Linked DNA regions of Cricetulus griseus. The protein of the gene in region 5 interacts with the protein of the main gene of each other region in a pairwise test. Links are inferred from orthologs where the notes say so. Each region holds a gene or a part of one and is shown on either strand. Other genes may lie near its edges. The genes, in order: P4ha2, Lat, Ndufb6, Stx7, Creb3, Ptdss1 and Cacfd1.

The links.
Region 1: the proteins of Creb3 (region 5) and P4ha2 interact in a two-hybrid assay, tested with the Homo sapiens proteins (2 studies listed by BioGRID and IntAct). The two-hybrid records come from large-scale screens. The link is inferred for Cricetulus griseus from reciprocal best matches to the Homo sapiens genes CREB3 and P4HA2.
Region 2: the proteins of Creb3 (region 5) and Lat interact in a two-hybrid assay, tested with the Homo sapiens proteins (2 studies listed by BioGRID and IntAct). The two-hybrid records come from large-scale screens. The link is inferred for Cricetulus griseus from reciprocal best matches to the Homo sapiens genes CREB3 and LAT.
Region 3: the proteins of Creb3 (region 5) and Ndufb6 interact in a two-hybrid assay, tested with the Homo sapiens proteins (2 studies listed by BioGRID and IntAct). The two-hybrid records come from large-scale screens. The link is inferred for Cricetulus griseus from reciprocal best matches to the Homo sapiens genes CREB3 and NDUFB6.
Region 4: the proteins of Creb3 (region 5) and Stx7 interact in a two-hybrid assay, tested with the Homo sapiens proteins (2 studies listed by BioGRID and IntAct). The two-hybrid records come from large-scale screens. The link is inferred for Cricetulus griseus from reciprocal best matches to the Homo sapiens genes CREB3 and STX7.
Region 6: the proteins of Creb3 (region 5) and Ptdss1 interact in a two-hybrid assay, tested with the Homo sapiens proteins (2 studies listed by BioGRID and IntAct). The two-hybrid records come from large-scale screens. The link is inferred for Cricetulus griseus from reciprocal best matches to the Homo sapiens genes CREB3 and PTDSS1.
Region 7: the proteins of Creb3 (region 5) and Cacfd1 interact in a two-hybrid assay, tested with the Homo sapiens proteins (2 studies listed by BioGRID and IntAct). The two-hybrid records come from large-scale screens. The link is inferred for Cricetulus griseus from reciprocal best matches to the Homo sapiens genes CREB3 and CACFD1.

Annotation. Positions count from the first base shown.
Region 1 is NC_048600.1:68,293,680-68,297,012, forward strand, and holds part of P4ha2 (prolyl 4-hydroxylase subunit alpha-2), read left to right. Parts: intron 1-141; coding exon 142-241; intron 242-969; coding exon 970-1,023; intron 1,024-1,435; coding exon 1,436-1,495; intron 1,496-1,543; coding exon 1,544-1,609; intron 1,610-3,333. UniProt on the Homo sapiens protein: Catalyzes the post-translational formation of 4-hydroxyproline in -Xaa-Pro-Gly- sequences in collagens and other proteins.
Region 2 is NC_048596.1:74,437,913-74,442,096, forward strand, and holds the start of Lat (linker for activation of T-cells family member 1), read left to right. Parts: upstream 1-1,384; 5' UTR 1,385-2,064; coding exon 2,065-2,167; intron 2,168-2,369; coding exon 2,370-2,397; coding exon of another isoform or gene 2,398-2,503; coding exon 2,504-2,538; intron 2,539-2,755; coding exon 2,756-2,843; intron 2,844-2,982; coding exon 2,983-3,047; intron 3,048-3,130; coding exon 3,131-3,160; intron 3,161-3,245; coding exon 3,246-3,309; intron 3,310-3,378; coding exon 3,379-3,473; intron 3,474-4,184. Other genes in the region: Spns1 (protein spinster homolog 1), read left to right, coding at 19-117, 409-580, 917-1,011. UniProt on the Homo sapiens protein: Required for TCR (T-cell antigen receptor)- and pre-TCR-mediated signaling, both in mature T-cells and during their development.
Region 3 is NC_048595.1:102,275,121-102,279,334, forward strand, and holds the start of Ndufb6 (NADH dehydrogenase [ubiquinone] 1 beta subcomplex subunit 6), read left to right. Parts: upstream 1-1,414; 5' UTR 1,415-1,533; coding exon 1,534-1,713; intron 1,714-3,794; coding exon 3,795-3,887; intron 3,888-4,214.
Region 4 is NC_048595.1:243,395,353-243,398,852, forward strand, and holds part of Stx7 (syntaxin-7), read left to right. Parts: intron 1-38; coding exon 39-111; intron 112-878; coding exon 879-961; intron 962-3,213; coding exon 3,214-3,306; 3' UTR 3,307-3,500. UniProt on the Homo sapiens protein: May be involved in protein trafficking from the plasma membrane to the early endosome (EE) as well as in homotypic fusion of endocytic organelles. Mediates the endocytic trafficking from early endosomes to late endosomes and lysosomes.
Region 5 is NC_048595.1:99,950,819-99,953,571, reverse strand, and holds the end of Creb3 (cyclic AMP-responsive element-binding protein 3), read left to right. Parts: intron 1-65; coding exon 66-172; intron 173-265; coding exon 266-334; intron 335-1,384; coding exon 1,385-1,469; intron 1,470-1,556; coding exon 1,557-1,641; intron 1,642-1,725; coding exon 1,726-2,054; 3' UTR 2,055-2,253; downstream 2,254-2,753. Other genes in the region: Gba2 (non-lysosomal glucosylceramidase), read right to left, coding at 2,453-2,731. UniProt on the Homo sapiens protein: Endoplasmic reticulum (ER)-bound sequence-specific transcription factor that directly binds DNA and activates transcription. Plays a role in the unfolded protein response (UPR), promoting cell survival versus ER stress-induced apoptotic cell death.
Region 6 is NC_048603.1:17,741,794-17,745,293, reverse strand, and holds part of Ptdss1 (phosphatidylserine synthase 1), read left to right. Parts: intron 1-1,099; coding exon 1,100-1,241; intron 1,242-3,031; coding exon 3,032-3,144; intron 3,145-3,500. UniProt on the Homo sapiens protein: Catalyzes a base-exchange reaction in which the polar head group of phosphatidylethanolamine (PE) or phosphatidylcholine (PC) is replaced by L-serine. Catalyzes mainly the conversion of phosphatidylcholine.
Region 7 is NC_048599.1:138,693,550-138,697,049, forward strand, and holds part of Cacfd1 (calcium channel flower homolog), read left to right. Parts: intron 1-45; coding exon 46-118; intron 119-1,471; coding exon 1,472-1,597; intron 1,598-3,500. UniProt on the Homo sapiens protein: Transmembrane protein which mediates synaptic endocytosis and fitness-based cell culling.

The DNA.
Region 1 (3,333 bases), on a different chromosome or scaffold from region 5:
CTGCTTGCCCCACCTCCTCTCTCCGCAGCATTTACCCCGTGCTCCCCATTAGTGGTGGCCTTGACTGGGAAGGGATCCTAGGACTTAATCTCAGCCTGCCCATTGCCCATGCCTTTCACCTTTGCTCTCTTCTCTGCTCAGCTCCTGGCTAGAGGAGGATGATGACCCTGTTGTGGCCCGAGTCAACCGTCGGATGCAGCATATCACAGGGTTGACAGTGAAGACTGCAGAACTATTGCAGGTAGGCTGGTCCCTGGGGCCAGAGGAGTTGGGTGGGGTTCTGTAGGGCTAGGTGGTCTCCCAAGGTTCCCAGGCTGTCTGAGAAGGCTCACCTACTCCATTAGTTACTCTTCTAATCAGATGATCATCCAAAAGAAGCAAATTGATGGAGGAGAGTTCTGCTTTGGTTCACAGTTTCAGTCCATCATGGCGGGGATGCTTGGCAGCAGGAGCTTGCAACACAGCTTGTTCACATCTTGCTGGATCAGAAACTAGAGGGCTGGGGCTGGCCAGGACCAACAGCAGACAAAAATTAGGCCCACACTCAGTGGCCTAATTATGCTGGCTAGGTCCCAAAGATTCCACCCTCCAAAAACAGTACCACCATCTCCGGAGTGAGTGTGTACTCGCATGAGCCTTGAGTTCACATTCCCACCATCCACACAAAAAGCTGAGTGTGGCTAACCATCTTACTGCCACCCCAGCATTTTGGAGAGCATCCACGGCTTGCTGGGTGACAGCTTAACTCCAGGTTAATTTTCTCAAGGGAATAAGGTAGAACGTGATAGAACAGGACACATAGCACCCTTCTCTGGCCTCTGCACAGGCGTGTGCACACACCACCATACACATATACCACATACACATACTACACACATACAGAGGTTGGGGGTTGTCTTCAGGCCTAGGAGAGTCGGGCTGCTGTGGGGCGTTGCTGCTGGCGAATTCAATGCTGTAATCTCTCACCAGGTCGCAAACTATGGAATGGGAGGGCAGTACGAACCACACTTTGACTTCTCTAGGGTAAGGCCCCAATCACGAGTATTTTTGGAGGGCTGTGTCTGGTTTGAGAAGGTTGGAGCTTCTAGAAGCATTTCAGCTAGCTCCATGTCATCCCTCTTCCATCTACCACCTCGAAAGGGAGAAACTCTGTTGTTGATGAAGCAGAGCCCAGTGGAGCCTGGTTGTTTCCTGTTGATGTGGGGTGTGTTTGACCCACTAATAAGGCAAAAGATCTCTCTAGGGCCCTGTGAAAACTTTTCTGGCCTCATTCCCCCTCCCTGTGTTCTTGCCGGGGTTCCCTTTGTAGCCTTGTCCCATGTTCCTGCTATTCTACAGAAGGCACACTTACCATCCCCTGACTCTTTTGGTCCCAGTCCTTTGGGTGGCGGGTAAGTTAGTTGCAAACTTAGATAAAAGTTGTTGTCTGTTACAGCGACCTTTTGACAGCGGCCTCAAAACGGAGGGGAATAGGTTAGCCACGTTTCTTAACTATGTAAGTACTGGGCTGGGCCCATTCGTTCACTCTCACTTAATTTTATAGAGCGATGAGCAAGATGCTTTCAAGCGTTTAGGGACTGGGAATCGTGTGGCCACATTCCTAAACTACGTGAGTATGATGCGTGCGCCTGATGGGCCCTGCGGAGACCCTGGGGCCAGAGAGCTCCTGTGCATCCCACCCCATCCGGGCTCAGAGCATCAGCTGCTGCATAGTGGTTCCTCAGGGCTCTTCTTGGCTAGAGTATAGAGTTGGCTTTTGTTCCCATCTGTGTGCTTGCCCTTCTCCTACCTCCTAACTCTTTCACACTCCCCACAACATTTTTTTTTTAGCTGTGGTAAAATATACATAATATAAAAATTGCCATTATAACAATTTTCTGTGTGCTTCAGTGATTATTTATTAAATCCATCCCCAATGTGAACCACTTACCATCTGTTCCCATAACTCTTCTCACCTCATAAAATGGAAACTCTATTTATATTGGACATTAATTCCAGAGTCCCTTTCTCACCACTACCCTGCCGAGACCACATAACCTCATCAAAGTGGAGTCCTGGAGTGTCCGTCTGTCCTTCTTGTTGGCTGATTCCCTTAGCCCCTATCTTTAACAAGTGTCTGTTGTGGCGTGTTCTGCTTCCTTTTTGATGGATGCAGGTCTACTCTGAGCTTTGGGAATGAGAGCCACGGTGGGCTCTGACCCAGGGGCAGAATGCGCTTTTAGATTGAAACTGCCTCTATTTCCTCAGAGGCTGGGTAGCCAGCCAGCTTCCCTCCTGATGCCCCCCACCCCCATCCATAGGCTGTCCCTTTACCCTTCCCCACTGTGATAGCCTACTCCAAGGAACCATAGTCAAGGAACTTAGAAACTAAGCTTGTTTTTTTTTTTTCCTCCTTAACTTTTAATTATCCTGGAGACTGCTATGTACATACACTGCTAAATAGGGTCCTATGTGGTCTCCATTGTGACATGGGAGACTCACTTAAAGCATGGGAGAGATTGTTATTTAGTTACCATGGAGACAAACACCGAAGAATTTGCCCAGACATGGGGTTCAGTAAGGCCTCATTTAGGAAATAGCATGTCAGTTGAGACTTGAAAATTAAATGGAAATTTGTGGAACATACTTTGGCAAAGAAGGTGTGTGGGGGCCTGGAAGGGACAAGTTTGGAATGTCAGGAAACAGGCAAAGGTTAGTGTATCTGGAGAGAGAGGCGAGTGAGACTGACTGACTTGGAGAGTCACTGGGTTTGAATGCCAGCACTAGGGAAGACACTGGGTTTATTCATTTTCCTTATCATGAGCCTGCTGAGTGCCCCTTCAGTCAGGCTGGTATGTGTCGTATTGGGAAACGTCTTAGCTATAGATAGTTCTTATTACCCTATAGGCCATTTTTATTATAGCATAGACAAACAAAACACTTCAAATAAGAGTGCAATTTAGTTTCAGAGAAAGCAGGGCAGAGTAGCATTCTGGGAAGGTGGAGGTCGGATTAGAGCAGGTAGAGCCAGAAAAATGGCCACCCAGGGAAGACGGTACTCCTGAGGTTGGAAGCTACAGGGAGCTCCTATCCAGCACTCTGTGCACAGTACAGAGTGCTGACCATAGGGGCCTAGGCAAGGCCCAGGCTGTGGGTGAGAATTCAAGATGGGGTCAAGATAGGCGTTTTCTTCTTTCTTTCTTTTTTTTTTGATATGTATTTATATGTATGAGTGTTTGCCTTCATATGTGTATGCATATATGTTGTAAGTACCATGTGCATGCCTAGTGCCCACAGAGGCCAGAAGAGGGCTTTGATCACCTGGAACTGGAGTTACAGGTGGTTGTAAGGCAC
Region 2 (4,184 bases), on a different chromosome or scaffold from region 5:
ATCTCCCCTTCCCCCCAGTATGTGGTGATCCCAACTCGACGCTCCACTGCTGAGGCCTTCCAGATCGTGCTGTCCCATTTGCTAGGTGATGCTGGGAGCCCTTACCTCATTGGTCTAGTGAGTACTGTCCCGTGATTGGGCTGGGATGGTATCGGGACCTGGTACTCCCTACTCTGGCAGATGGCTGGTGGATGGGATAGTCTGACCTACTGAGGCAATAGCCACCTGTGGCTCTTTCACCCTTAGCGCCTCTGGTGGTTGGGAAGGAAGCTGGGTAAAGGTTTTACCTGTGGGGCTGTGGGTCTCACCCTGTGATTCAAACCATTCCTCTTTCTAGGCTCCATTTTTCATTTTCTTGGTGTTCAGGCCTCTCCGTCCCTGGGTCTCTGACTCTTTTTGTCCTAGCAGATTTCTGACCGCCTCCGACGGAGCTGGCCTGCTTCCTTCTTGTCTGAGTTCCGGGCCCTGCAGTTCTCGCTCATGCTCTGCGCTTTTGTTGGTGCACTGGGTGGTGCGGCCTTCCTGGGCACTGCCATGTTCATTGAGGATGACCGCCGACGGGCTCAACTCCACATGCAGGGTCAGTGAGGGCCACTGTCACCCCATATTCACAGTATCACCTGTCAGTCTGTCCATCTGTTGGCTCACAGGTATGCGCCCCACATCTCTTAGTCCACAGCTGTCCCATCCACCCAGGCCCATGCTGCCAGCCACCTGCCAGGGTTGATAGTACCAGCTTCCCAGTACCATCCCACTCAGCTTTCAGTCTGTCTTAAAGTGTATCATCAGGCTTTCTGTCTATACACAGTTCTGAGGACTCTTGCTGCTGTCTCGTCTATGCCCCTCTGCCTGTTTGTCTCCTGTCCCCTTGATGGCTTTTATGTGACTGGCCTTGGCTCCGACCCCTTCCCCACAGGTCTGTTGCATGAGACAGGACCCTCAGATGACCGGATTGTGGTGCCTCAGCGAGGCCGTTCTACCCGGGTCCCTGTGTCCAGCGTGCTCATCTGAGGAGCTGTTGCTCACCCAGCCACAGGTTCACCACAGCTGGCCCTGGGCCCACCCTGGGAGGTGCCCAGGCAGAAGCCATCACCAGGTCCAGGTCCAAGGAAGAAGCCCTGGGATATGTCCCAGCTCCCAAACACTACATGGGCAGCCCAGGGAAGAGATGGGGTTCCAGAAGTGGGGGTTGTCCTGTCTATTAGGGCAGCCCAAGGGGTTTGGTGCTATTTGTAATGGAATAAAATTTGTAAGCAGACTATGACTGGCTGCTTGTCTCTCTGCGGGTGCCATTGGCTTCAGGGAATGTCTGTGGTCTCAGGACTTACTTACCAGGGGCAGTCGGGTCACCCTGTGGGTAAGTCCCTGTCTTCTGCGCTTGGGCCATCTAGAAGGAGGACTGCTCTTTTCTGAGTGAGTTGGTTCGGTGTGACCGTGAGTCACTGTGGTCCCCTGGAAGTTGTTCTCCCAGAAGCAAGCCTGGGAGGTGGAGGCAGTGCTGCCCTTGTTCCACACAGTCCCTGGCAGAACCTCATTAGAGTTCTTGTGCTCAGAGATGGGGAGGCCACAGCTGGCCTGGTTGGCATGTGTCTGCCTTCCTAGTGGAGCAGTTGCCTCATCCTGCAGCCTCAGACCTTTCCTTCACAAGGTCCCTCTGCCTCCTCCCCCTTCCCACAGCTGGGTGGGGGTGAGTGGGCAGGGGGCAGGCGCAGCCGGCTGAGGAGCCTGATGATTTCCTGCCCTCACCACAGCTTCCTGTCGCACGCGGGTGGTGAGGAGGAGAGGCAGGCAAGCGGGGAGCAAGAAAGGGGCAGGTACAGCTGGGCACAGGGATCGTGCTGCTGGTAGCTGGGGCACAGGCCCCAGCTCAGGCTTTAGGACTAGCCTCTTCCAGCACTGAGCTCAACTCAGTCTAGCAAGGAAGTGGGGGTCATTGAACCCCAAAGGAGGACACAGCTGCTTGCCACTGGATCCCAGGCTGGGGCCCACTCAGTCCCACACCCCTGCTGCCACTCTGCCTAGAGGGGCTGCAGTGCAGCAGGGCCTGGGCCAGGTGCTCTGCAGATGGAAGCAGACACTCTGAGCCCCATGGGGCTGGGCCTCCTGCTGCTGCCTGTCCTGGTCACGCTCCTGGCTGCCCTGTGTGTGCGCTGCCGTGAGCTGCCAGGTAAGTGGGGAGCTGTGGAGTACTAGATGCTAGGCACACCATTGGATCCCCATGCCTTCCCCAGCCCCCGGCTTCCTCTAATTGTCCATACTTCAGTCCTGCCTGGGGGGGACGGGACGGGACGGGACGGGACGGGACGGGATGGGACTGTCTTTGCTCCCAGTGCATTCTGATCCTGCCTCATTGGCTCTCTCTCTTCCAGTCTCCTATGACAGTGCTTCCACAGAGAGGTGAGTGTGCAGTCCCATTTCCCTGTGTGTCTTCCCTTTGTTCTGATGAAGGGCTTGGGGCTGGGGCCCTCTTGGCCCTGTACCTAAGCTGCCTCTTTCCTGCCAGTTTTTATCCACGGAGCATCCTCATCAAACCATCTCGTGAGTTCAGTGTCCTTGGCCTTCTTTGAGGGTTCTTGGGAGTGTGCCTTTGTCCCGCTAAGATGCCTGCAGGACTATTGCCTGGGTTGGGGGAAAGTTGGAGCCCCCATGCCTGTTTAGCACATGTTTTTTAGGGGTACATCTGTCCTTAGAGGCCTTGTCACCCGCAGGGGGGTTGTCTGGAGTAATTCCCTCAAGCTTGGTTCTATGTCCTCAGAAACAGGCTTCCCCCGAACAACTGCCACTTCCTATCCTCTTGTTACTTCCTTCCCACCCCTGAGGCAGCCAGACCTGCTCCCCATTCCGTGAGTACCCCTCAGCTCCCTCCCTCTGATCCATTGTGCCTCCTTACCTTTTAGGATGGGGGGGTGGCTTTTTCCCTGTTGTAACCCCTCTTGCCCCCAGATTCCTACTTAGACCTGGTCCCTGACCCTTGACTTCCAGGAGATCCCCACAGCCCCTTGGAGGTTCCCATCAGATGCCGTCTTCCCGGCAGGATTCGGATGATGGTAAGGGCGTACAGGGCTGGAGGGCTGGGGAGAGGGTGTGCAGCCTCAGCTGACTCCATCTTCCTCTCCCTCTCTCTTTGAAGCCAACAGTGTGGCGAGCTACGAGAACCAGGGTGGGTCTAGGGTCTGGGGTACTGGGTGGGGTGGGGAGGCTGGGTCTATCCCAGGTCACGTTGACTTCTCTCTCATTCCTCATAGAGCCAGCCTGTGAGAATGCGGCTGAAGATGAAGATGAGGATGACTACCCCAATGAGGGCTACCTGTGAGTGGGGGGTGGGAGGTGGGAGTGGAAGTTGGTGCCCTTTCTTACCTCCTCATCCCTTCCTTCCAGAGAGGTGCTTCCTGACAGCACCCCTGCCGCCATTCCTGTCGTCTCCTCTGCTCCCGTGCCCAGCAACCCTGGTCTCCGAGACAGCGCCTTCTCCAGTGAGTTAGGGTCTCTGACTACCTCCTTCCGCCATGTGCCGCCGGCTATGCCTCTCTTCCCTCTCATTTCTGCGATCGCCACCCTTCCATTTCCTCCCTCAGATCTTGGACTTCCTGCTCCTCACTTCTGATCACCTTGCTTTTCCTTTTGCCTTCCCTCCCTCTTTGTCTTATCATTTTATCTGTTGTCTAAGAAATTCCCTGACTCTTCTTTAACCTTTCCACTGAAATCGTATTTCTCAGCTGGATGTGTAGGCATGCGCCTTTAACCCTGGCACGAGGGATCTAGGTAGGAGGGTTGGCTTTGAGGCTAGCCTGGACAATACAGTGAGACCCTGTCTCAAAAACCAAAACAGCACTACCACAAACAAAAAGAAAAGAAAAATTCTTTTCTTTTGTCGGAAAACTCTTTTTTGGGGAGGGAGAGGGACGATTCTTGGTGTTCTTTTTTATTTATTTATTTATTTATTTTTGGTTTTTCGAGACAGGGTTTCCCTGTGGCTTTGGAGGCTGTCCTGGAACTAGCTCTTGTAGACCAGGCTGGTCGCGAACTCACAGTGATCCACCTGCCTCTGCCTCCCGAGTGCTGGGATTAAAGGCGTGCGCCACCACTGCCCAGCTTGGTGTCCTTTTTATTAAGTACCCTGTTCTTGTTTCATGGAAGTGATATCGTCTAATGTATCTGTAAGGTCTTTGGTTGGAGGTTGTTTC
Region 3 (4,214 bases), about 2.3 Mb from region 5:
ATATTTAGTATCACTACTACTCACCTTGCTTTTGGATAAAAGGTAGCATACCATATACTCTTCTTTCTAATGGGTGTAGGTGCTTTCATTTATTTATTTGCCTTAACAACAGATTGTAGGGGTCACTCCACAGTTGTGAATAGAGAGCTTAGCTATACAATGGCTGTAGCATTCCAGTGCTTTACAGTACCATAAGGTTTTCCACTAATCCCCTATTGAGGAATCTGGGAGGTGATTTCCAAGGTTTTACAAATTGTGTCATGGTGAATATTCATGCATACCCCTGCAAATTTTTACAATCATATCTTTGGGACATCTTACAAGTGGGACTGTTGGATCAAAGAGTGAACGGGCCTAGGTAATACTCCCAAATAAAGCGTTCTTTGTTTCAGCAGTACAGACGAGGGAGGAAACTTAAATACTTGCTCAAGATCACTTTGAGGGGTTACAAAAGGGCTAGGAGCTGAACTTGTTTTTTTTTTTAATTTCTTTTGTTTAAATTTAAATTAGAAACAAGCTTCTTTTACATGTTAATCTCAGTTCCCTCTCCCTCCCCTCTTCCCCTGCCCTATCCCAACCCTTCTTCAAAGTCTGTAGGAGCTGAATTTGTATGCCATTGTCTCTAGGTAAGGAAGGGGGAGAATTCAAGGGGGCGGGGCAGAAGTTCTATAAACATGCACTAGTCCTTCCGAACCCCTCCCCTGTTGATATCCTGGCTTCTCCCTCTCCCCGGGTCCATGTCAGGCCTCTCCTGGCCTGAGCCTTCTCCTTAGGGAACCTTTCCTGGTCGCAGGGCCTCTCTAATCCTAGGGTTTTCTCCCCGCCCCGGGATTGCTCTTCTCCAGGAGACCTTCCCTCACTCCAGGATCTATCTTTGACAGGTGATCATTCCTCACTGACAGCTCAAAGGCTGTCAAAGGTTGCATGGCTGCATAGTGCATGTGTTAAGCAGCTGCATAAGGACTTCTGCATGCAGAGCTGGGTCAACTGCAGCTCCATGACTCCAGTTTCAACGGCCCCAACTGCTGAGCCTCATTCTAACCCTCTCCCTTTCCCTTTTTAAGCAAGTGCCTCCCGCCTGTCCTCTTTCCTTCCATTTCTGTTCCCGATCGGTTAACACCTACCCCTCCCTTCGCTCCCTTTCCCATTAAACTCCATGTGGGTTTGGTGGATCGTGTTTCATCGCCGGAAGCTGCAGCAAAGAACAACATCCCCTACAAGTTCTTTCTTCCCTGAACTAAAGCCCCAGGACCTCTCATACTTTCTATACCACACCCACTTCCCGCCCTGAGGGACCTTCAAAAAAACTTGCTCTTAATCCGGGGTCTTTAGAACCAGGGTCGGCGAAAGGGCTTTTGCGCATGTGCAGATCCTGACTTCCGGGAAGGAGTCCCCCGACTCCCCAGCCGTGTTTGGGTGTGACGTCATCACAACGCGCGGTCCCAGGTGCCTTCAAGGTCGCTTCGAGGAGCGCGTAAGTGACCGGCGGGTTTCAGGTGCACGCCGAGTCTCTTCGGCAGGCTCGCCGGGGACATGACGGGGTACACACCGGATGAGAAGCTGCGGCTGCAGCAGCTGCGGGTGCTGAGAAGGCAATGGCTGAAGGACCAGGAACTGAGCCCCCGGGAGCCCGTGTTGCCACCGCGCAAGACGTGGCCCCTGGAGACATTCTGGAATAACTTTCTGCGGGACGGGGCCCTGTGGAAGAAAGTGGTGAGTGATGAGCCACACAGGCTCAGTTCCCACGCCGGGTCGCAGCCCGGCCACCCTCCCACTCCGCGGCTCCTCTCAGTGCCATCAGGGCCCGACCCTCCCAGTTCATGCCCCGGAGGGCCCTCAGGGACAGTCAGTCCGGGGACTCAGGTTTGCAGAGACTGTCACATTAGGAGAGTCCTGGGTAGGGATCTGGAGTCTGGGAGTGGGTTGGTTTTAGGGGGGATGGTCCCGTTTGGCTGTCAGGTGTACTGAGAAGTCAGACCTTAGGTTTTAAACTCATGTGGTTCTTTGGATTGTAGATACCTTGTTAATTTTGGCAGTCACTGGTTGATAACTTAGCTAGTGATTTAAGAAATGAATCATTTGTTGAATTTTGTCTTACCTTGCTTTGAATGATTAATTTTTTCTTCTATAATTATCTGCTATAATACATAAATTCTAGGTTGTCTTTCTTCTGAAAGGATGTGTTTTAGTCAAATTGGATGCCATAGAAAAGCCCCCCCCCACCCCAACAGTGGAGTAATGTTTATCCCTAGAGCACAAATGGACTTTGGGAGCCCATTCCCTATGGAGGGATACTACTGTAGCCCAGATACAGGAAGGAGGGCCTGGGTCCTCCCCCAAATGATGTGACAGACTTTGGAGGGCCTCACTATCCCTGGGGAGGGGTTGGGGTGGGTTGGGGAGTTGGTGGGGAGCATGGGAGGATGGGAGGGCAAGGGAATGGGGGGATGGATATACAAATAAGAGTGCTTCTAAAAGGAAAAAAGAAAAAAAAATTCCACTACAAAAAAAAGAAAGGAAGGAAGGAAGGAAGGAAGGAAGAAAGAAAAGAAAAGCTCCCCTCCCCTTTTTTGTCTGTTGACTTTACTTTTAAAAAGGTGTACCAGGAGAGAGTTCAGTGAGTTTAGAACACCCATGTTTTAGTAAGAAGCCTCACTTTTTTCTTGAACATGAATGCCGTATATCTTGCAGAATGCTATTTATCCTAAACCTTGTCTTGAAGTCTTGCAGAATGTTTCTTATCCTAAGTCTCATTCTCTGGAGTCTATGGATGTCCCAAAGGAAGTCTCAGAGGTAGTGAAAATATTGGAGTAAGTAGTTTAGCACCAATTTGTCAGGAAATACGTTCCATTTAGAAGTTTGTAAAGTAATTATCACACTCTTTGTTGGTGGTAGGATTTTTTTTGGGGGGTTGGTTTTGCTTTTTGTTCCACACACATTGAAAAATGAGGTATCTTATGCTAGTATAGCAAGTAGCACATGCTGGTAATCACAGCAACTCCAGAGATTGAGTAAGGACTGCTGCTGAGTGTTCAAGGTCGGGCTGGGCTACATGGTGAGCCAAGTCAGCCTTGGCTAAAGAGAGGAACCCTGTGCTGTTATTTTGTTTAAGTTTAAAAATATTTTTTTAAAAAAGGCGCAAGACGAGATGTGACAATGAGAGATGCATTAACCATAGTTTATTACAGGTGGGGGAGGGGGAAAGATGAGAGAGAGAGAGAGAGAGAGAGAGAGAGAGAGAGAGAGAGAGAGGTAGAAGAGGAAGAGAGAGAGAGCAGGGAAGAGGTAAGAGACAGTAAAGAGAAGAGAGAGAAGAGAGTTAGTGGTCGACCACCAGAAACAGAGAGAGTGGAGAGATGTGGGCTCAGGCTTAAAAGGGGGAGCTCGAGCATGAGCAGAGTCCCTACGAAGCCCTGTAATTAATGACATATCCATGACGTGGCCCTTTGAGCTGCCTAGGTATCTGCCTGAACCTTTCATTCTGTCTCAAAATAAATTAATAAAAAGTAAAAATGAGGGGTGGATGAGATAGAGAGATGACTCAGTACTTAAGACCACTTGGCTTTTGCAGAGGACCCAATTTGGGTTCCCAGCACCCACAGGGTGGCTGAAAACTTGTCTATAATTCTAGTTCCGGGAGATCCAATGCTTGGTTCTGTCTGATCTCCAAGAGCACCAGGCACACTCATGGCACACATGCATACATGCAGACAAAACACTAATATACATAAATAAATCCAAAATTTTAAAAGAGGATATTTGCTTATTTTGTGTGCTGTGTTTTCCCCCCACAGATCTTTAAGACATACCGGGCCAGTCTCTTCACTGTTTCTCATGTAATTATACCTCTGTGGTTTATTCACTATTACGTCAAATATCACGTAGCTGTAAGTATGTGGTAAATGTGTGCTTTTCAGAATTTGTTTTTAATATCTTACAATAATTTCCTGTGGCTGTGCTCTACTCAGGGGATAATACGCCAATTTAAGCCAATTTTGAAGTTTTTTGGATTCTTTGGGGTAAAAGGTTTAATGGAACTTAAGTACACATATACAACTAGTTTCAAAACTTGAAATTCTAAAGGTTACTCTTATGTACAACTAGTTTCTAACTTGATATGGTCAGAGTGTCTAAACCTAGAGTCCTGGCAGGAGGTGGGAAGATGATTTCTGCTGCCCTTTTAGCACAGGTCAGGTATGGCCTATCATTCAAAA
Region 4 (3,500 bases), about 140 Mb from region 5:
TTTCTAATAATGTATAATGTGTGCTTTTTTGGTCCTAGGCTGATATTTTGGACATTAATGAAATCTTTAAAGACTTGGGAATGATGATTCATGAGCAAGGAGATGTGATTGGTAAGTCCTGCTGGTGTGTTCTGGGCAGTAGGAGCAAGTTTCCTGCAGTTTACCTGCAGCAGCTCTTTCAAGCAAGAAACCACTTCCTTTCTGTTTCATTGGGATCCTCTGAAATCAAAGGCATAGCGTCTACAGTTTGCTGTGAAGGCCTGTGGGTCCTGGGTGGGGACTACACTTCACGGCAGTTAGGTTAATGAAAACAGAATACAATTATCAAATTCTTACTGTGAAGTTGTCCACTGTCCCATGCAAAGTAGGTAAAGCACTGTGTTTATGTGAATCATTTGAAGTGTGTTGTATTTAACAGAATCAAATACAAAGCCGAGGAACACTAAGAACTAACAGGGTAGTTTGAGTAAATAAACGTACAAAGGACTGGATGTGTTTGGACCCCTCCTTGGTCCTGAGGAGAGTGTTCTTTGAGAAGTGTTCTTTGAGGTAGACTTTTTCTATGTGATGTCGAATGTCTTTGGGCCTAGGGAGAAGAGGGTTGATGTGTTTTGCACATTGGTCTTGAGGCAGTGCAAGCTCTGGGGTTAGAAACTGACAGGAGCTTGTGCTGACACTGATCTGACATTTGCAAATTGACAGCACTTTTGTTGTGTCCAGTAGATGTAGATATGATTAAGGCCATTTGCTTATGCATTTGTATATTATCTGGATTGCGTGTTTTCCTTACATGTCTGCTGAATGAATTTTGGTGGTTTATAATTGGCTCATCAGTTCATGTTTAACAATTCTATGTGTATGTGCATTTTATTTTAAAGACAGCATAGAAGCCAATGTAGAAAGTGCAGAGGTACACGTTCAACAGGCGAACCAGCAGCTGTCAAGAGCAGCAGATTATCAGGTAACATTAACTGTAATCCGTTTTCTTTTAACTTAGAGTTTTGACTTGAAGTGGTTGCATAGGCTGACTTTAGAATTCTGTGGGAGGGGAGGATCAGAAGCATGCCAGTCAATTTAAAATTGGTTTGGGCATGTGTATTCTCATATTAATCTACAGAGATAGGAAATCATGAAGCTTGCAAGAGACTACTACTCCACACTTTTCCTGTTGTGGGAAGCAAGCATCACAGAAGGCAGGAAAACCATCCAGGTGAGGTACAAATAAAACTTGGGTCAGCACAGCTTAGCCGGTGCTGGATCAAAAACTTCTGGAGTCTGATATTCCAGAAGTTTTCACGTACTTAAACACAGTAAAACTTTGGAAAAAAAATTTCCATGTGGGAATTATTACACCAAAGCTTCAGGCATGGCTACATCAAAGTACATCTCTTTAGCAAAGCACCTGTGACCTTCACACAAGAATGAGTTCTATTGACTGGGAAGCAGTGCTCAGGAGTCTGGGCATAGGGAGGAAGGGTTTTTTTTTCTTTTCATTATTATTATTATTATTATTATTATTATTATTATTATTATTATTAATTCAAGTTAGGGAACAGGCTTGTTTCACATGTACTTCCCCTCTCCCTCTCCCTCCCCTCACCCCCATTCCTTCTACCCCACCTCCAACCTACCCCCTCCACCCCATCCACCCGCCACTCCCCAGGCAGGGTAGGGCCCCCAACCGGGGCTCCACCAAATCCACCAAATCTTCCTGTGCTGGGCCTAGGCCCCTCCCCATGTGTCCAGAGACAGAGCGCATCCCTTCAAGTGGGATGGGCTCTCGAAGTCCCCCCCACCCACCAGGGCAAAACGCCAGTCCACCTCCAGAGGCTCCCAGGAGTGCAGGGGCCTCCCCATTGGCATCCATGATCAGGGGGCTGGATCAGTCCCGTACTGGCCTCCCAAAGAGCGTCTGGGGTTGAGGGAGGAAGGGTTTGTGATACACATAAAGATGGGTTCTATTGACTGACAGACGTTGCTCAGAATTCTGGATGATTCGATGAGGGCCGGCTTTGCAGAATAGCAAAGATGACCAACTATTGACATATCCATTCCCATCTTTCCGGAGGGAAAACAGTGTCAGTTTCTTCCATCGAAGGAAAAAAAATATGTGAATTTAACAATTGAGGTTTTTCTAGTGCTGTCTGTAAACTGTGCTCCCTCTGTCCCATGGTGGTCTCTGGTGGGACAGTGATAGCCCGACATACGGAGAGACCTGTTTGGTAGCCTTTCGAAAGCCCTCGTTTCCCATCCTCCCCTTTTTCTTTTTCTTTTTCTTTTTGATTTTTTTTGTTTGTTTTTATTTTTGAGACTGTTTCTTTATGTAGCCCTGGCTATCCTGGAACTTGCTCTGTAGACCTGCAAATACTTCTCCGACCTCCACACTTGTACCATGACACATGTAACCCTACCAATCAATCAATCAGTTTACCAATCAATCTGCTTCTCTCTCTCTTTTTTTTTTTTAAGATTTTTTTATTCATGTGTACAGTATTCTGTCTGCATGTATGCCTCCAGGCCAGAAGAGGGCACCAGATCTCATTACGGATGGTTGTGAGCCACCATGTGGTTTCTGGGAATTGAACTCAGGACCTCTGGAAGAGCAGTCAGTGCTCTTAACCTCTGAGCCATCTCTCCAGCCCCTTATTTTTGATTTTTAAGACAGTTTCTCTATGTAGCCCTGGCTGTCCTGAAACTCACTGTGTAGACCAGGCTGACCTTGAACTCAGAGATCCACCTGCTTCTGCATCCCAAATGCTGGCATTAAAGGTGTGTGCCCCCACTGCCCTACTCACCGCTTTTCTTTCTTATCAGTGGTACTCCAGCCTGAAGTGACAAAGGACCTTGTACTAGGGAGGTCTCTTCAAAGTTTCTGGAAACTGTATTAGCTGGGAGTGTCATTAATCATTACATACTATGTCATCATGTGGTAGAGACCTTACAATAGATATAAATCTATTTCTCCAGGGAATCAATCTCGTGAACATGCAGAGTCCATATGTATCTATGAAATGCAACTCATGCTTCAGATACTAGACAGATGTCATGGCTGTCAACTGTTAATGACGCATGTGCTGTAGAGGTTTTTAAGAAGAAAAATCGCAAGCCCAAATACAAGGGCTGCAAACTGACTGAAGTGAACTTGAGTTGCTTTCAGCTGCTGTGGAGTCACCTCACTGAATGTGCCACTCTATCTTGTTCTTGCTTCTGCAGCGCAAATCCAGAAAAACCCTCTGCATCATCATTCTTGTCCTCGTCGTTGGACTTGTGATTATCTGTCTCATCGTATGGGGACTGAAAGGCTGAGTGGTGAGAGTGGACCGCTGCACGACGTCGTCTGGGTTCTGTAGGCAGATTCTCGAGGTCACTTTCTATTGTTATTTTAAAGGCAGTGGTGTAAAGGATGGTCCCATACTTTGTCATTTTTATTGGGGGAAGGAGGTTCTTTTGAATTCGATCTGATATTTTCTAATACTGAAGGTTTTTCTAAATACCATTGC
Region 5 (2,753 bases):
ATATATATGTATGGGTATATAAAAAATAATACACCTTGGATGACCTTTTTCCCATCTTCTCTTAGGTGGAGGAACAGGTTCTCAAACGGATACGGAGAAAGATTCGAAACAAGAGAGCTGCTCAAGAAAGCCGCAAGAAGAAGAAGGTGTATGTGGGAGGGTTGGAGAGCAGGTAGGAAAGGAAGAGCATGGGGAACAAGTTGGAAGCCTTAAGCTTTTGAAGGGAAGACACAGGCAATATTTTGATATCCATGTTATCCTCCAGGGTCTTGAAATACACAGCCCAGAACCAGGAGCTGCAGAACAAAATACGAATTCTAGAGGAACAGAATCTGTAAGCAACCATTTATAGTCATTAATTTTTAAAATCTTTTTAATGATTTTTTACTTTTATGTGCATTGGTGTTTTGACAGCATGTATGTCTGTGTGTTTGTCGGGTTCTCTGGAACTGGAGTTACAGACAGTTGTGAGCCGCCATGTGGGTGCTGGGAAATGAACCTGTGTCCTCTGCAAGAGCAGTCAGTGCTCTTAACCACTGAACTATCTCTCCAGTCCTGTCATTAGTTTAATGCTGTCTCACTCTTTCCACTATTCCACCCTTGACTTCTAACTGGATTGCTCCTAAATTCAAAAATCTGGTGGTTGGCCTTTGCCAGGTCTCAAGCTCAGAGTAATGGGGAATAAATTTCCAAGTAGCTAAGAAGAAATTAAGTACCAAGACAAAGAGGAAGTAAGAAAAGACTGAATGGAGGGGCTGGAGAGATGGCTCAGAGGTTAAGAGCACTGACTGCTCTTCTAGAGGTTCTGAGTTCAATTCCCAGCAACCACAAGGTGGCCCACAACCATCTATTATGAGATCTGGTGCCCTCTTCTGGTGTGCAGATATACACGGAAGCAGAATGCTGTATACATAATAAATAAATAAAATCTTAAAAAAAAAAAAAAGAAAAAGACTGAATGGAGGTAGTCAACATCAGAGCAGTTGCAATGGGGGTAGGAGGGGCTGAGTGGGGAAAGCATTCTAGGTGGAGAGAAGACAGTGTTTGTGTTTGCGTTGGCCCAGAAAGTAGAGAACACAGTACCTGGTGGGGATTACATGCATAGTTGATCACGTATTAAGAGAATTCTGGAAGGTATTGGCAAAGGAGCTTTAGTCAAGGCAGGGAAGTTTTTATTTTTTGTTTCAATAAGGAACCACAGGTCCACAAAGAAGTCATTTGGGGGGGGAGGGGGGATGGCAAGGAAGTTAAGAGATTGGATCCACTGCACCAGTGGAGAGAGTGGCTTAAATGGGGGTGGGGAGGAGGGTGGTAGGGTGAGTTTCATTGTGACTCAGTGCTAGACCAGGGCATGCTCACCACTGTTTCCTCTCTCTTCCCTTAGGTCCCTTCTAGATCAACTGAAGAAACTTCAGGCCATGGTTATTGAGATAGCAAACAAAACCAGCAGCGGCAGCACGTGTGTTCTGGTGAGGAGAATGGGACGGCAGATCATTTTCTTGGCAGAGATGGGGTGTATGACCCAGAGCCCTTCATCTCTTTTTTCCGTGTTCTAGGTCCTACTGTTTTCTTTCTGCCTTCTTCTTGTACCTGCTATGTACTCCTCTGACACAAGGGGGAGTGTGCCAGCTGAGTATGTTGGTAAGAGGCTGAGGACCTTTAAGGCATGGGCTGTGGTAAAGGGTGGCTTCTGTCTTGTCACTTGACAAGGCTTTGTCTCTTCAGTGTTGCACCGTCAGCTTCGTGCCCTTCCCAGTGAGGACTGTCATCAGGAGAAGCTGCCTGCCCAGCGGTCAAAGTCACTGAAGGACAGCACAAGCCAGCTGCTGGGTAGCTCAGAGCAGATGCTCCAGGCCTCCAGCAACGCTTCCTGCCTCCTACACTGCATGCCTCAGGCAGAGCCACCCCTGCACTGGACATTCCTTGATCTTTCCTCAGAGACCCCCTTCTCAGGCCCCAACCATCCCCTGAAGGCAAATCTTTCAAAGAAAGGGGAGTGGCTGCCTACCCACAGCCCTTCTTCTGTTGTCTTGCTGGGCAGGCATTCATGTTAGATTTGAGATGCGGGGTACCCTCAGCCTGAGGATTCCTGTCAGTATTCAAATAAAAAGGAATGGGGGAAAGAGCTGGCCTCTGCTCCTGTGCCCTATTAGGATGCCTGGGAGCTCAAACACACCATACTTAACAGTTTTATGGTCTTTTATTTATACTCATGTATATCTGTTGTTCCATGAATAGACTTGGAGAAATTTACTGGCCTTGAATATTTCATCCACGGAAGGAACGGGGAGGGTAAGAAATAAATAAGTGGTTCCTTGGCCCCTTTTTACTGGCACAGTTGGGTAGCAAGAAGGGAAGGGGCTTGATTGTCCTAGTGGCTCAGGGCTGCAGGAGTGGTGGGAGGGAGGAGGAAAGACCAGTGTATTGGCTGGGCTTCCACAGTTCAGGGGGATCACTCTGGGCTTAGGTTTGTCCAAGATTTCTTTGGTTCATGTTCAGGCTCTGTGCTTAGTCTTGTGCCCTGTGTGACAACTGGCCTTTTGCCCTTTTTATGCTGCTGCTGTTGCAGGGCCAGCTGCATGGCCCAGATGCTCAGCGGCCTCATGTAGGCTAGTGAGCGGAACACTTGCTGCTGGCAGTATGCCTCTGGGGTCTGGAAAGCCAGGCCCAGGCGTTCCCATACAGTGCGGTAACAGCCCTCAGCTGTCCGGAAACCTTCCCGAGTCAGACCCTGTGGGGAGAGGTAGAAGTCA
Region 6 (3,500 bases), on a different chromosome or scaffold from region 5:
ATTTTTTTTCTCAGGCTAGCTTATAAAGTCAGCAGAGCAGGATATGGGGAGGGGTAGAATGGGTTGTTTGTGAGCCAGGTGTTAGTGTAGGCAGGATATTAGGAAGCCACAAAGAGGATGTTTGGCAGGATAAAGAGTTCATGAGTAAGAGGTCCAGGAAGGGGTTGCCTAGGTGAGTGAGCCTGTGGGTGGAGGACTGGGTCAAGTTGTTTCTTTTCTTGAGCTGAGGTTCTAAGGAGCTGCTATGTAAAGGTTAATATACAACTATGTGGCCAGCCAAGAATGGCCTAGGATCTCCTGCCAAGCCCTGAGATTTGGCTCCCAACACCTCCTTATGCTGGGAAGACACATAAGGAATGTGGATGAAGGGCCTGACCTGCTTTGCCACTGTCTTCTACCTCTCTCCTTCTGGAAGGAAAGGTCTGGAAATTTGTTATCTATGTCATTGACACTGAGCATCCAGTCTAAACACAAAAGTCCTCAGTAAAAAACCTCTGTGGAATTATACTACCCACCAGGTGTTTAAATGGCTTGGGTTTCGGCTTAACTGGGCTAGTCGGAGGGCTGGCAGACCTTGTTCCTGTGTTGACAAAGCTGATCTACACCATCTTTGAACCTAAATCTATTCACATGCAAGATAGATTGTTGATGACAGGAGTCATTTGAATGTGTGATTCCCAGGATTAAACTCATGAAGAGTTAGACATCACTGTTACCACAAACTCTGGGGAGAAATAAATGACTTTGGTGAGCTCAAGAACATGAAACATGAGCCCTTTTATAATGACACCCTCTGGGGAGACAGAATGGGAGGGAATAGTATCCTTGCCCCATGTACATTCTTCCTGGGTGCTTCCAGGTCATATCTTTAATTCCTGTTAACTTCTTTTGACACCCTTCACAAACTTAGCCCCCTCTTAGCTCAGCAGCACCCTGAAGCCCCCCTCCCCCCAGCTTCCAGTATACTCCTGTGACCTAGGCTTCCACTAGGAAGGGTCCACTCCATTCTGAGGAGTTGCTAGAATATCGTCAGTGCAGTTTTTCCTTTTTCCCTCTTTGTTACCCCTGGATTTTCACGGTTTCCATTCTTTTCTTCCAGGGACATCCATACCACCACAGGGAAGATCAAACGTGCTGTGTTACAGTTCACCCCTGCTAGCTGGACTTACGTCAGGTGGTTTGACCCTAAGTCTTCCTTTCAGAGAGTGGCTGGGGTATACCTTTTCATGATCATCTGGCAGGTAATGCCCATTCTAAGGGGTGGGTGGGGGCAAAACATGATTCTTCCTGGAGGCTAGAATTAATGGTAGATTACATTTCACGTCAGCTGGACACTTTGGAAGAGAATTTGTAGCTGGCATATAGGGTAATGAAAATCTAGGTTACTGTCTGAGGAGTTGCTTCAGTGTGGAGACATTTTAAAACTGGATTCTCTGAATTACAAATTAGGAACTGATTTCCTGGGAAAGGTCATATTTAGCACCCATCACCCAGTGAAGTAGGTGTAACACTGTTTTGAAGAATATTTTCAAAACCAAAGGAAATATGTGAAGGTTCTTTTTTTTTTTAAATTTAATTTGTAATTTTAGTTTTTGCAGTGCAGGGTATAGAATTCATAGTGTCCAGAGAATGTCCTGGAACTCATCCTCAACAGATGCTGGGGAAGTTGTTTATAAAATTGAGACAATAAGTGGGTTGGCATTGAGTTTTGTCTTTTCCTTAATTAGAAGGAAGCATGACCGGGTTTTCTAGGGTCTTGCACCCTGAATACTTTCTTATATTCCTAATTCACTCTCTGGTATACAAAATTGTATCTCAGCCTTCCCCAGTTTGTATAATGTTCAGAAAGCTTTCTCAGCTGTGGAAATGGGACCCATGGATTATGTGAATCTTGTAGAAAATTGGGGGAGAGAAGCATTCCAGGTAGAAGAAATCTCAGTAGTCACTGGGGAAGGATTCTCATATCTCTGGTTTTGGAGACAGACTTTTTGTTTTGTTTTGTTTTCTTCCTGTCCCCAGGGGTTGTCACAGCTTCTGGAGACTCACCATGGGAAAACACATGTTGCTTAAAAGTTCTTGCAGAATCATCAAACATAAAGTTTTATGACCTTCCTACGTTCACTGTATTGAACATGTGCATACACCACACATAAAATAAGAATATAAATAAACGGTAATTTCAAAAAGTTAAAATATGGTGGGAAAGGTCAGTGCATATCACTTTTAAGAGTGAAAAATCTTGTTCACACATGGAAAGCAATTCCTTTCCTGATAGACAGAGTTTATATTTACAGAAGTACAAGGGAGTAAATCACTACTGTGGTTTGCAGAAGTCACTCTGCCTCCTTACTTGTGAGGTCCGTATCTGAAGATTCAACCAACCACAAATAAGAATACTCTCAAAAAAAAAAAAAAATCCTTACAAAGTGGGAGTGGCGGCACACACGTATAATCCTGGCACTCAGGAGAGTGAGACAAGAGGGTTTAATGCAAGTTCAGTACCAGGTCAGCCAGCACTGCAGAGCAAGACCCTGTCTCAAAACGCCGCCGGCAAAAGTTCTGTCTCTGCCCTGAACACACACACTACATGCCTCTGGTAGTCAGTTCTCAGATGGACCTCAAACATCTTTAGGTCAGTTGCTGATCTGTCTATAGTTGGGCTTTAGACTGGCCTGAGCTCCATAAGGCTATAGAAGTACTGATTTGTACCATCTGTCCTGACTGTCCCACATCAGGTCACAGAGAGGAGCCAAGGGACAGAAATGCAAAACAGGAAATGTTTCAAATAGCTGATGACCTTCCCACCACTCCAGTCATATATACACACGCACACACACGCACAGCGACCTGCTCCCAGTTGGTCAGTAGCTATGTATTGTCTGTTACTACTTTATCAATCCCTGGGAGACCCCATATGTTTTCTGAGAATGCTTTGGACATACTGGTTACTCTTAGCTCTAGAAAGCCTGTTTAAGGAATGTATGCTCATGATGTAATGTGGCACAGGGTGACTGGTTTCTCTTTTCTTCAGTTGACTGAGCTGAATACCTTCTTCTTGAAGCACATCTTTGTTTTCCAAGCCAGCCACCCCTTAAGCTGGTGTAGAATTCTCTTCATCGGCTGCATTACAGCTCCTACAGTGAGGTAATTCTGTCCAGCCCCGCTGCCAATTGCTGAAGAAGTGTGCTTGCTTTGTGTTTTCATCCCTAACATAAGGGCTGTCACATCAACTAACAGATTTTCTGTGAAAATGTTATTCTAAGTAACTGTCCAGAATATCAAGAATGTGTTTTGATCTGAGACCTCAGTACAACAGTGAGAGTTTTTAAAAGAAAGCAGTCACTTAGTGGCGTTCCCCTAGAACTACCCTTGTTTTCAACAACTATGCAGTCTGTCCCTGCTCGTCTTCTTACATCCTGTTACAAAATATTAAAGGTGACACTAGGTTTCCTAAAATGAGATTATTGGTAAGTAGAAAAGTCTGTGTGCAAAATATATTA
Region 7 (3,500 bases), on a different chromosome or scaffold from region 5:
TAATCCATACTCCACTAACTCCTGCCCATGTCTTTTGCTTTGAAGCCTGTGCCATCTCTGGACTCTTCAACTGTGTCACCATCCACCCTCTGAATATCGCAGCCGGTGTGTGGATGATGTGAGTATCTGTGAATGGCCTGCCCTGGTGGGGTTTGAGGTCTGTGATGCAGGGCACATCCCCCTTTCTGCTCCCGCCACATTTAGGGTTCCTAATAATGGGCCAGGGGGACAGCTGGCTGAGCCTTTATTGGGTACAAGGTCATAAGAGTTGTTGAGCATCTATCCAGCTAGACGCTGTAGACTCCTTGTCTACTACCATGGGCTGTTCCTTCTGGGAGCTCCAGAGCCATGGTGTGTAAGGTCAGAGTTGAGGGTCTAAGAGGAGAGAAGAGGGTGGTCATCTGTGGGGCGGTGAGCAGGGCTAGTTGGGGGGGGGGGGGCAGATGCAGATGGAACTAGTGGCTGTAGCATCCATAGGTGAGCTCCTTATCACCCTCTTCTGGCAGCTGGATCCCAGGAAAAGGGGCACCAGAGTAAGGGCTGCTCAAGGCACATGGGAAGCACTGTGCATTAGCATTTGTTAGTGCCTACAAGGGGCTACACAGGCATTTGGGGCAGGGTACAGGTCCTGCCTTAGGCCTCAGGCCAGGGTGATTTTGGTCTTGTGGTGATGTGTACAGAGGCCTGTGCTGGTCCAAGGTGGCAAGGATGGGGACTGTAGAGGTTGTGTACAGATTAGTGGAACAGTGAGCTGGTATTTGGAAGACTGGTGGCCGTGGTGGGTGGGGAGGTAGGCAGTAGTCTAGAGTTACAAGAGCTGTGTCTGTTAATCAAACTGTTATAGGCACTTTCCTTCCAAATGTGGGGCTGGCAAAGGCCCAGTTGTCTGGTCAGACAATTACCCACCTATGGGAGCAAAGGCATTCAGCACCAGCAACTTATCTGTTCCCAGCAACTGGGCAAGGATTGAAGTCTCCTGAGTGGAAGCTCCACTATCGTGCATCTTTCTGCCTGACCCACATGGTCTCAGGCCTTATGTCATGAGTGGTCCTTAGCAACTGGATGCAGCCAGCCCTTGCACTTCTGCTGGAGCACCCTGCCCTCAATGGTAGTGTTGTGACTATGAAGATATTATTAACAATTGGCATTGTGACTAAGTTCTGCGGATGAACATGCTGCTAGCTCAAGATAACATTGAGGTGCAAGGGTCTTAGTTCTTCATTTCAGAGTTAGCAGGATCTTCCTCCTGGATGCTTGGGCAGTTAGAGATGCTGCTGCAGCAGTGGGGTGGGGTGGGGGGGTGGGGGGGTGGGGTGTTGAGCTGCTTGGCAGAAACTGGTACCTTGTACTGCCTAGTGCTTACAGAAGCAGAGGGCCTGTGGGAGGGTGGTGTTCCTTGAGCCACTAGCATGATGGCTTTTGCAGCCCCAGGTTGTCAACTATCATTGTCCTTTCTGCCTTTGCCCTGTAGCATGAACGCCTTCATCCTATTGTTATGCGAGGCGCCCTTCTGCTGCCAGTTCGTGGAGTTTGCAAATACAGTAGCTGAGAAGGTGGACCGGCTACGCTCCTGGCAGAAAGCTGTTTTCTACTGCGGGTGAGGGCTGCTGGGCCAGCCCTATGGCATGGTTCTCCAAACTTTTACTGGTTAAAGCAGGTATTGGTAGGGTGGGTGGGGCAGAAACAGGTAGAGGTCTTTCTTTCCTGCAGAAGTTTTTTGTTGTTGTTGTTTTTGGTTTTTGTTTTTTTGAGATGGGATTTCTCTGTGTAGCTTTGGAACCTATCCTGGAACTAGCTCTTGTAGACCAGGGTGGTCTCAAACTCACAGAGATCTGCCTGCTTCTGCCTCCCGAGTGCTGGGATTAAAGGCGTGCGCCACCAACGCCCAGCTCCTGCAGAAATTTTTATTTGACAGCTGTGGACACAGCCACTGGCCCATCCAACATCAGTTGCTAAAGAATGGGACCCAATATCTGCCTTCTGGAGCTCAGATGGCAGCTACGGCTATACAAGTGTTTTAAGATCTGTAGTGTCTGCAGCAGTATGTGTGTAGGGGAACAGGGAAGCAGCTGGGATTTGCCAGACAGGTTGTAGTACATCTGTGTGGACATTGTGCAGCCTTGAAAGGAGTGTGGCCAACCTAGATGCCCAGACATGAGCTTGCAGAACAGAAAACACCATTTTCCTCTAAATATGCTTTTTCTCCTTCTGGTTCTGACAAGTTCAGTGTGTCATAAGACTGCGTCACTTCCAAGATAAATTGAATACACAGAAGCCTCTAGAGAAGGGCTTTTGCACGAGAACTCATCTAGGCAATGATATTTATCACAATTTATCTTTAAGATCAGGTTATATCAAAGCTTGGTGGAGGCTCAGCAGCTTCATCAGTGAAAATATACAAGAGTCTGTCATGTGCTTGCTGGCAGTTTTCTGATGTGTCTGAGTCCAACGGGCTTACAGGATCACAAAGTTCTAATCAGTCAGTGTAGCATGTTTTGTGTGTATGCACACATGCGAACATGTGCATGCGAACATGTATGTGGGTGCACATGAATGTGGAAGCCAGATTTGGACATCAGGTATTTCCCTCAGATAACTTCCATTTGTTTTTAAAGATAGGGTCTCTCACTGAACCTGGAGCTCATCAATTTGGCTGGACTGCCTGGCCAGTGAGCTCTTAGGAATCCACCTGTCTCTACCTCACCAGCCCCGATGTACTTGGGTTTTTATGGGGATCCAAACAGGCTCTCAGGAATGTGCAGTAGGCACCTTCCCAACTAAGCCATGTCCTCATCCCTTCCTTTTTCCCCTTTTGTATTTGAAATGCGCTCATTTTGTAGATCTGGATGGCCTTAAGCTCACAGAGATTCATCTGTCTCTGCCGCCTGAGTGCTGGGATTAAAGGCGTGAGTCACCATACCTGGCTTTCTTTGAGTTTTTAAGATGTATCATCATGATGCTGACAGTAAAGTCATTTGTAAAGTAGAAAATGATCACTCCAGACCTCACTACCTATTCATGTTTTTGGCATATGTCTCTCCAGTCTGAATCCAGACACTTTGAAGCTCATCTTTAACATGCTTATAACTGCCAAACCTGCTTATAAAGTTTGAACCTGCTTTTTTGACTTGCTGTGGTATCATTTTCAGTATTACCAGAAAGACTATGGCATTCCTTTTAATGTTTTGTTTTTAAAAAACAGTTCTTTTCTCTTTTTTTTCTTATTATGCATAGTGTTCCTCCTGCATATATGACTGCACGCCAGAAGAGGGCACCGTTCTTATTACAGATGGCTGTGAGCCACCATGTGGTTGCTGGGAATTGAACTTAGGACCACTGTAAGAGCAGACAGTGCTCCTAACCACTGAGCCATCTCTCCAGTCCCATTCCTTTTAATGTTAAACACATTTAATCAGCTGGACATACTTCCTTTGTCTTAATTTGTTAGCTAATGTCAATCAGGTCTGGTGAACATCTGTCTGCTAAAGCTACCATGATGC